Regions from separate parts of the Mus musculus genome. Here all the other regions are reported to be linked to region 1. The links are microRNA targets in miRTarBase. Many come from high-throughput screens and were not tested one by one. Region 1 holds a microRNA gene; each other region holds the end of a gene's coding sequence.
The links. The annotated mature microRNA mmu-miR-130b-3p reads CAGUGCAAUGAUGAAAGGGCAU and lies in region 1 at 2,117-2,138, opposite strand. An mRNA with a match to its seed (bases 2 to 7 or 8) in the 3' UTR can be bound and repressed. Matches are read on the target gene's strand: a 7mer-m8 pairs with bases 2 to 8, a 7mer-A1 pairs with bases 2 to 7 and ends in A, and an 8mer does both.

Region 1 (3,259 bases):
CCAGCCCTCTCCCAGTTTGCAGTTCCCTCCATACTCTGCCCTACCAGACCGCCCTGGTAATTGAATCTACTTTCCAGTTCACTAAGATAATATCCAAAAGGACTTCCTTCTGCCCCCCAAAGGGCTTTAGCTCTGGCTTTTGCACCCTCTGAGTTTCCTACCTACTCGGAAGCATTACACACATCCCTCTCCAGATCATGTCCTGACCACTTCTTTTGCTTGTTTTTTGAGACAAGGTCTCCTATGTAATTCTAGCTATATTGGAATCCACTGTAGACCAGGCTGGAACTCTGCCTCCCAAACAATGGGATTAGAGACTGCATGCCTGCACCCATGACCACTTACTTGCTCTATGTCTTGATGTCCTCCTGTGGCCTCTCCTCACACCTACCTCCGCTACCTTCCTCTCCCTCCCCTCCCCTCTGGAGTGCTAGGGATTAAACCCAGGACCTTGTGCATAATAGGCAAGTGTTCTACACCCTGAGCCAATTCAAATTCACAGAAGTGACTTAGCCAACCTAAATCCTTTGCGGCCCAGACCTCCCCTGATATGTACATGTAAGATATGTAAGATATGCACATGTAAGATATGTAAGATATGCACATGTTAGGATTCCTAGCACCTCAGGATGGATCTGCTGTGGCAACAGCTGCTGACACACGTCTACCCTAGCCACAAAGGAGTGTGGTTGCTTCTTCCCCATCAAAGCCCTCCGTCAGGCCTGAGACTCATTATGTATCAGAGCAGTCCCCATGGGTGCCAGGACTTGTGGAGCTAGAGTACTATTAAGGCTGATTTTCTCAATCTATTCCCAAAAGGGAATCTGGAAGCCTGGGCCTCCTCTCAAGGAGGCAGGCCTGACCACCTCCTACTAGGTTTTTGTTTGTTTGTAAAAGAGGGGTGGGTGCATTGAAACAGGGCTTTACCATGTAAATATAGCTCTTCTGGAACGTGCAGGGTAGACCAGGTTGTCCTTGAACTCACAGAGATCTACCTACCCATGCCTTCCCTGTGCTGCATTCAAAGGCATGGGCCATTGGGTCTTGCCGCTAAAGGTAACTCTGCAAGCACACTAAGGATCGGGCATCCTTAAAAATTCAGCTCCAGGGCTGGAGAGATGGCTCAGTGGTTAAGAGCACTGTTCTTCCAGGGGTCCTGAGTTCAAATCCCAGCAACCACATGGTGGCTCACAACCATCTGTAATGGGATCCGATGGCCTCTTCTGGTGTGTCTGAAGACAGCTACAGTGCACTCATATAAATTAAATAAATAAATAAATAAATAAATAAATAAAAATGAGCTCCAGCCCTGTCTGGAAAGCAGACATACCAGACACCTCCATGCCTCTCCTACTCAGCACATACCCTCTTTGTAAAGGAGCAAGCAGACATGGCTGGCAGGCCTACTCTGCAGGCTTCTTGTTCCAAGTCCATCCATCTGGCCCAGGCAGGACACTTCTTCTGAGCCTCAAGGTGTGAACCCAAGGTGTGGTTATCTCAGGAAAGGCTGAGTCCAGTTCTTCCCGAGGCAGTCAAGGCTAAGCAAGGTATACAAACCTTTTCCATACAAAGAGGTGAACATCTGTTTCTCTCCACAAGGTCCTGGAGTTCCTAGTTTTGTTTTGATTCTTCAGACAGCTTCAAAACTGAGACAATCTTCCTGCATCAGCCTCCAGACATGGGCTCACCAATCTTTCTTTCTTTTTTAATTGATTAATTAATTAATTAGTTAATTTGGTTTTTCTCAAAACACGGTTTCTCTGTGTATCCCTGGCTGTCCTAAAACTCACTATGTAGACCAGGATGCCCTAGATCTGGGTGATCCACCTGCCTTTGCCTTCCAAGTGCTGAGATTTAAGGCATGAGCTACCTACCATTCACTCACCGCCGCGCCCCCTGCAGCAGACTCCCCTATCTTAACCTGGGGGGAGGGGGCTAAGAGCTTGAGACTGGAGCCTTTCCAAATCTGGGGTCTCCCCTTTGTACTGGTTCCAGCCTTGGAATATGGTTCTCAGCATCCACCTTATCCTTTTAGCTAGAGATAGCTATCTCTATCTAAGACTATGATCCAAGCACTGACCCTTTTGTTCCTCAGGCTCCTTAGCTGGCCCGACAGATGCCCTTTCATCATTGCACTGCTTCCCAGAGGCCCACAGTAGTGCAACAGGGAAAGAGTGTCCAACAAGCCTGTCAGTCTCACGGGGTGGGGCGGGGCATGGGGAGTTGGGGTGGCTGGAGTGGGATCTTAGACCTAGAACGCATGCCCACCTGGGCGGAGCCTCGGCCTGAGCAAAGGATGCCCTCTGACCCCAGAGACACGGGCCTGGCTACAATCTCAAGTTTCCATGGAGAAGAGAGTAAAATGAGCAGGGGGAGGGTACGGCCTGCAGGCCTGAGGGGCCAGGCCTGGAAAGGGAAGAAAGAAGGAACAGTAGGTGAGGTGGTCTTCGAGGCTGGTCCCAGATGCTTTGACAATACCATTGCACTGCTTCTCACAGCACAGTAGTGCAACCTAGTCAGAGCACCCGCAGCCAGCAGGAAATCCATCGCCCTCGCTGCACGCAGGGCTGCGCTGGAAATTCAACCACCATGGGTGGGTGGGACATCTATCCAAGCTCGGAGAACAGACGGGATTCCAGCCCGGATGCAGTCCTCTGGACTTATTAACTTCAGGGAACTCAAACTTTCTCTAACAGGCTTCTGATTCTGGTGAGGTACTCCAAGGAGGGAGCTGAAGGGCGAGCACCCGAGGGGGCTCAAACACAAAGGAGAGAGGCCTGCGCTCAGTTGCAGAGGGGAGCACAGTGGGACTACTTGTACCCTGTTTCAGACCAGAACTAGAATAAGAGGGATACTTCACTCCTTGCACGTGAGGCCCTTGGAGTCCGAGATCCGGTCCTTGGTCCATTCCCCCAGTATGAGTTCTGCACTCTATCCTAACAGATTCTCCTGCCTAGAAGAGCAGAACTAGGGCTTCCTGGCATCTGGAGTTTCCCTGGCCTCACCGCACACCCTATCCCAGACCAGTTACTCACGTGGACAGACACCTCTTGTTCTCACCAGGGGGACAAGGTGAAGCTTAGTGGAAGATCCAGGTAGGCGGCGGCCCCGTCATATCTGGACAACCCCGCACCTCAGCACCTCGTGGCGCCCTCTCTCCCTCGGCTCCATCTTTAACCATCTGACAGTCCCGAGGGCCGAGCCCCGGGCCTCAAGGCACAGCGCCAGCCTCATTGGCTTGCGCCTACACCAAGCTTTG
Region 2 (3,259 bases), not on the chromosome of region 1:
TGATTAGTTTTAGTTTGAAGTCTATTTTGGTAGATATTAAAGTGGTTACCCCACTTGCTTCTTTGGTTTGTTTGTCTTGAACATCTTTTTCCAACCCTTTACTAGTAATGTCTATCATTGATGTTAAGGTGTGTTTCTTATATGCAGCAGAAGAATGGATCCTGTTTCTGCATTCATTAGTCTCTGTCTCTTTTCATTTCAGACCATTAACATTGAGAGATATCAATGATTAATGATTGTTGATACTTGTTATTTTGTTGTTGTTGTTGGTTGTTTATGTTGTTGGTGTGTTTCCCTTCTTTTGATTTTGCTAGTATGCAGTTATTTATGAATAAATACATTTGATAATCCGACTACCTGCATCTCCCCCCCCAAGTTAAGTCACAATGAAGTAACCTTAAATGATTTGTAGTTTTACAGTGTTATTATAAATTTGAATGCTGTGTTTTGTCCATGCAATTCTTTGGTATGAATGTGCTTCATATTCAGGTTATATTTATACTTACAGGAAATTGGTTTTTACTTTCTTTTTAAAGAAAACTAAATTGAAGAAATGGCTTTTTACTCAAGAAGACTGCTGGGCCTGGACGACCTAAGAGACGGACTGGAAATGAAGTGGAATTCAGAAGAAAATCTCAGTTTTGATGATTACGTTGCTTTTTTGTCCAGTAGTTTGGTTTATATACATAAATATTCTTTGCACTACACAAATGGTAACATTTTAAAGACTAATATTGCTGATACTTGAAAAATCAATCTCAACTAGATTTTAAGTAGCATCCATAGACTTACTCTTTTTGAGCTTGAAGGACTAAATTATTAATTATTGTTCAGTAATGATCACCTAATTTTTCCCATAAGAATTATAAGCTGCATTTCTAAGGCATAGCTCCAATTATGAGATAAAATTTATACTTTTTACTTTTCTAAATTAAACACAAGAAAGAATGCAAAAACAAAAGTGATTTTTTAAAAATGAGGTTAAATCGATTTTGCATCAGTCACTGAACTGTCAGCTACGTGGCAGGAACCGGACGGAAGAATCCTCTCCAGGAGACTGGGCTTTAGTTAGTGGCTTGATTCCCCGGCTTGCTCAAGGGAACTCAGAAAATCATCGTCCTTGTACTGCGCTTCTGTTTACAAACGATTCACTGAACAGACTTAACTTGATGATGGAAATGATGAAAAACAGGCCTAATGTAGGTGTAAAAGTGTATTCAAACTCTAGACACGGCTAATCAGATTTTAATTCAATCATACACACATAATCCTTTGTAATCATTTTTCTTTTAAGTGAGGATATCTACTGTCTGCTTCATAGGGTGCTTTGCAATAAAATGAAAACGTATTTATACTGTTTTTACTAAGGTAACAAAAGCATGATAATCCTTTTTTTTGCAAGTGTAAACGACAGTCTGGACTCTTAACTTCTTAGTGCCTCAGTTTTCCTTTGGGGTATACTTCACAAGGTATCAGAAGTACTTTCAGTCTACAGGTCTCTATGTCCACATAACTAAGGAATGCCTAACTAATGGAAACTTAAGTTCCTTCTAGCCATTAAAACAGAGAGAAGATCAATTTAGATCCCGGAACACTGTATTTGAAAAATAATCTTCCTGTGTACTTTCTCAAACCTGCGCTCAGTAATATACTTTATTCTTTGAAGATTTAATTTAAAAACTTCATAGAAAATCCTTTTTTGCTTTTCCTTTTGAGACAGAGTTTTGGTAGCTCCTACCAGCCTCCAATTCTCTATGTAGCTGAAGATGACCTTGACTACCTGAGTTTCCTGTCTCTACTTCTTTTCAGCTTCTGGGACCACAGGCCTGTACCACCATGGCCAGCTTTAGAGAGTAAAACATTTTAATTTGTTCTTGATTTGTATGATGTTGGGGGCGTTAGCATTACGTGTTGAATATTTTGAGTAAGAAGAAAAGAATCCATCTTCAGAATATAGGGTTGTTCTTTGGGAAAAAGAGTATAAGAACATAATTTCTTTGTCCTAGACTTTACAAATTTTTCAAAACTGTAACTTTATTTTAAACTTGTGTATCACAACTTGGTTGATATGCCTAAAATGATCTACTGGCTTTTGCTTATGATTAAAAAACCTCAAATCTATCTTCTACATTTTAAAAGGAAGAAAAAAAAGCAAATAACTGAATTATTATAGAAAACTTTAGACCTGTGACATTTTTTTGTTTTAAATTACAAAAGAGGTTGGTATGATAAAGTGATGGCTTTTTTCTTATATAAATAGAATGCAAATCAAAGATATAACCAGTGTGATTGATTGCAAGTAGTCAAGTGTAACTAACTCCTAAGGGCAACCATTTGTATCTTATATATCAGAATTACTTTATAGTTTGAAAGCACTTTGCACACATTTCCTGTATATAAAGGATGTAATTACAGGATATAGTGGTAATGCATTAAAACATGAACCTCATTTTAGAAATCGACAGCTATGGTATTTTTTTAATGATCAGCTTTTCTGTTTATTGTAAAACTAAGTTAAAAAATAAAAGGTTAATGAGAAATGAAATGCTAACTGTATTGACTGTGTACAAAGCTAAAGCAAGAAGCAACAGTGGTTCATATACAGTAATCTTAAATGGCAGGCAGGAGATACAACTGTCCGAAATCCCAAGCACAGGATTCCACAGGTTCCATTCCGGGTAACATGCAAAAGGATAAGGTCATGAGACTAAATAAAGGCATATTATTATATATAACTTGAACAAACAACAGAAAACCAAGAGAGAGAGGGTTTTACTGTAGCTTAGACTAGCTTTAGACTTGAAGCAATCCTCTTGCCTCAGCCTACGAAGGACAAAAGAGAATCATTTTAAGTTTCAACAGATGTGAAGCTGAGAATGTGAAAGGTATAGAATAAAGTGCTGTCTCTTGGCTCATACTAGAGCAGTCTTCAGTGAAGGAGAATTCATACCTCCCCATATACAAAAGGATAGAGATGATTTCCTAGTGTGTGCTATTTCAAATGGCCTTCAGCCCAAACAATGTTTATGTGAAAGAGGCGTGTTGGGGGTGGCATTCTTATTTCTTTAGACGAGTTGATTTCTGTGGGGAAATCTCATTGTTCTTCTTAAGTTTTTTTGGCAGGTGTAAATTTAGATGATACATTATTTATTCCCAGTAAATACCATTACACAACAGTGCTTTATCTGGTGGCAGAATATTAGGTGATGAGCTGGAAATGTGATAGCAAACTAATTTCCTATTCAAGTTGGTTATTTTG
Region 3 (3,259 bases), not on the chromosome of region 1:
CTACCACAGGGTAGGTAGGAAGCTAGGCAACCTCTGGATACTTCCCCACTGTGCCAGGTGTGTCGCACACGGGGGTCTTGGCGGATGTCAGCAGTCAGGAAGGGGCAGCACTTGGAAGCAGAACCCAGAATGCTCAAGGAGGCTCTGACAGGACAGATAGGTAATATGCACAAATAAGACCCCTGAGGTCCATGTTATTTGATTTTAGACCTTTCTCTGTAACACACAGATTAGTTGCCCACTGAAGGTGCCCTGGAAAAACCCCACTTCCCACTATTGTCCTCAAGACTACTGACATTGCCAAAAGGGCTGCAGCAAGACCAAATGTGAGTTTCACCCCGCATCCCAAACTCATAGTAGCTCCTACTGCTCTTTGGCAGGGCCACGATATGGCAAGGTCTGTGGGAGCGGTGGCCTATCTTGAGTGTTCAGCTCGGCTCCATGACAACGTGGAAGCCGTCTTCCAGGAAGCAGCAGAAGTGGCTCTCAGCAGTCGCAGACATAACTTTTGGCGGCGGATTACTCAGAATTGTTGCTTGGCCACCTGACTGGCTTGGAACCCACCTTGCCTTCCGGTTTACTCCGCTGCAGAAAGACCCAGAAGCAGAACTTGTACTCTGTTGACTGGGATGGACCTAATCCCTAGGCTGAGCTGGTAGAACCACACATCCATCCACAGATGGGCTCCAATGAGGCCTGGCCCCTGGACCGAGGAATCCTGGATTGAGGAAGAGGGTTCCCAGACCCTTAGCTCTGGAACCATTATAGACTCCTGTGCCCAATCCTGGACCTGCGTCCTGAGCGGGGTCTGTGCGGTCTGTTTGGCGCCACCTTGTGGCTATTCTATTGAGTTATATCTACAGGACCTAGGGTTCCCAAGACCATCTTGCCCGGGCTAATACCCTGCCCCGTCCGTGATCATCCTATTTATCCCATTGCTAAGTGTAACAACTAAAATGGCAGCACTTGCTATTAGTGTCCTGACTCTTCCTTCAAAGCATCTTTACATACTACTAGGTAGGAAAGAGCCCATCCACCTAGACCCTAGGGTGGAACTGCTAGGACCAAACCTGACTTTATCACTTTAAGACCTTGAGGAAGTTCTAGGCCTCAGCCTTTCATCTGTAAAATGGCCAATCAGAAATTACATCAAGCATGAATAAAAGTCATGAGGACTAACACATTCAAAGAGCTTAGCAAGTGCCTTGCATGAAAGGTACACACTCTCATTTGTCTACCATGTTAGTAGACTTCTCCAGAAACAGCACAGTGTCAGGCACACACACACGGAGATAGTGCAGTAATGCTTTCCAGGTGCCACCACATAAACCAAACAACCTAAACTCAATTCCCAGAACCCATATAAAAAGCAAGATGCGAGGTTGGTGAGGTGGCTCAGCAGACAGGGGTTCTTGCCACGACGGCTTGAGTTCCTTGGGACCCATATGGTAGGAGAAAACTGACTCCCACATTTGACCTCTGACTTCCATGTATACCTTGGTATAAACCCACCCAACACATACACAGTAGAACTGAAGTGTAACTTCACTTTTTTTTAAGCTAGAGGCTAGTGATCAAAAGCATTAGTGCACTATCTCCGTGAGTCCTCACACGTGTGTGTGTGTGTGTGTGTGTGTGTGTGTGTGTGTGTGCGTGTGCGCGTGCCACTGGCTTGTCTTCTAAACGATCTAGGTTTGGTTCCCAGCACACATAGGATAGCGCACAGTCACCTGTAGTTTCTGTTCTGTGGGACTCAATGCCCTCTTCTGGCCTCCATAGGCACCAGGCACAAAAAAAAAAACCCAAAAACAAAACCAGGCAAACATACACACCATAAAATCAAGCCAGTGTTGGTGGTGCACACCTTTAATCCCAGTACTTAGGAGGCAGAGGCAGGCAGATTTCTGAGTTCGAGGCCAGCTCAGTCTACAGAGTGAATTCCAGGACAGCCAGGGATAGAGAAACCCTGTCTCAAAAAAAAAAAAAAAAAAAAAAAAAAAGGTGTCAGAGACAAGAAACTCTTCTAATCTCTTGGAAGCTCAAAAGCCTTGATACACACACCCCACATATGGAAACTACAGAAACAAGAGAGACCTGCCTCAACAAGGTGAAAAAAACTGATTCCTGAAAGTTGTCTTCTGACCTCTACATGTGCAATGTGGGGTACACACACACACACACACACACACACACACACACACACACGGTTTCATTAAGGAACCTGCTCATATGCTCATACCCGTGTGGTTGTGGGGTCTGGCAGGCTGATACTTGTAATGCAAATGAGTTGGTGTTGACATCCAGCATTTGAATTTGCAGGGCTGTGGGCTGGAAACTCAGGGTTTTTGGACTGCTAAACTTGAGGCAGAATTCTTCAGGAAGACAAGAGGCCCACACATACTGAGTGCCACCTGCTTTATTCAAAGACTATCAATTTAAAATTCTTTTCTCACATGTTTATTTGTGAGGGCTGTGGGACATGCCATGACACACATGTAGAAGTTAGTGGAAAATCCTCAAGAGTCAGTTTTCTCCTTTCACTATGTGAGTCCCAGAGATCAAACTCAGGCTGTCAGGCTTGGTGGCAAGTGTCTTCATCTACTGAAGGCACTGGCCTCCAAAGTCTAACAATTTAAACATAATCACATCTATTTTTTTTAATAGAAATGAATTTTGCTTTTATTTTTTTAATTTAAAATTTTTGTTTTTGTTTGAAACAGGGTTTCTTTGTGTAGCCCTGGCTGCTCTGAAATTCACTCTATAGCTTACCTGGCTTTTAATTTTAATTATTTTTATGTGTATGAGTGTTTTGCCTGCGTGCATGTCTGTGTACCATGTGCATGAAGACTGTCAGATCCCCTGAGACTGAAGTTACAGACGGTTGTGAGCTGCCGTGTGAGTGTTGGGAATGAACCCAGGTCCTCTGGAAAAGCAGCCAGTGCTCTTAATCACTGAGCCAACTTTCTACACTACACCTGTTTTGTTTTGTTTTGTTTTGTTTTATTCTGTATATGCTTTTTATCAAGTTAATTGTTAACATTGTGTGTATGTGGGCGCATGTTGCCATGACAAAGCTGTGGAAGTTGGGGGTCAATTTTGTGGAATCAGTTTTCTCCTACTTTTATGTGCATTTTAGAGACCAAACTCGGATCATCAGACTTGTAAGGCAAGTGCCTTTCTTTGAGAAGCCATCTCACCGGCTTGAATGTTATTTTCGTATTATTACTGAATTCTACAGGCATGATGTCATGCTCGTGGT

Region 2: the mRNA of Acbd5 is a reported target of mmu-miR-130b-3p. Seed matches in the 3' UTR shown: 8mer at 698-705.
Region 3: the mRNA of Rhod is a reported target of mmu-miR-130b-3p. Seed matches in the 3' UTR shown: 7mer-A1 at 1,588-1,594.

What each region holds. Positions count from the first base shown.
Region 1 is chr16:17,121,955-17,125,213 of GRCm38, forward strand. It overlaps Mir130b (microRNA 130b), which reads right to left and starts at 2,188; the gene lies at 2,107-2,188. It overlaps 2610318N02Rik (RIKEN cDNA 2610318N02 gene), which reads right to left and starts at 3,248. Exons shown (of 7, transcript NM_001358255.1): 1 at 3,036-3,248. It overlaps Mir301b (microRNA 301b), which reads right to left and starts at 2,542; the gene lies at 2,446-2,542.
Region 2 is chr2:23,111,969-23,115,227 of GRCm38, forward strand. It overlaps Acbd5 (acyl-Coenzyme A binding domain containing 5), which reads left to right. Exons shown (of 14, transcript NM_001355637.1): 14 at 537-2,545. The coding sequence ends at 549. Among named protein-coding and RNA genes, the nearest start is that of Mastl, 42 kb to the right of the region's middle.
Region 3 is chr19:4,423,378-4,426,636 of GRCm38, reverse strand. Rhod (ras homolog family member D) reads left to right here. Exons shown (of 5, transcript NM_007485.5): 4 at 1-10; 5 at 381-3,165. The coding sequence ends at 548. Among named protein-coding and RNA genes, the nearest start is that of A930001C03Rik, 14 kb to the left of the region's middle.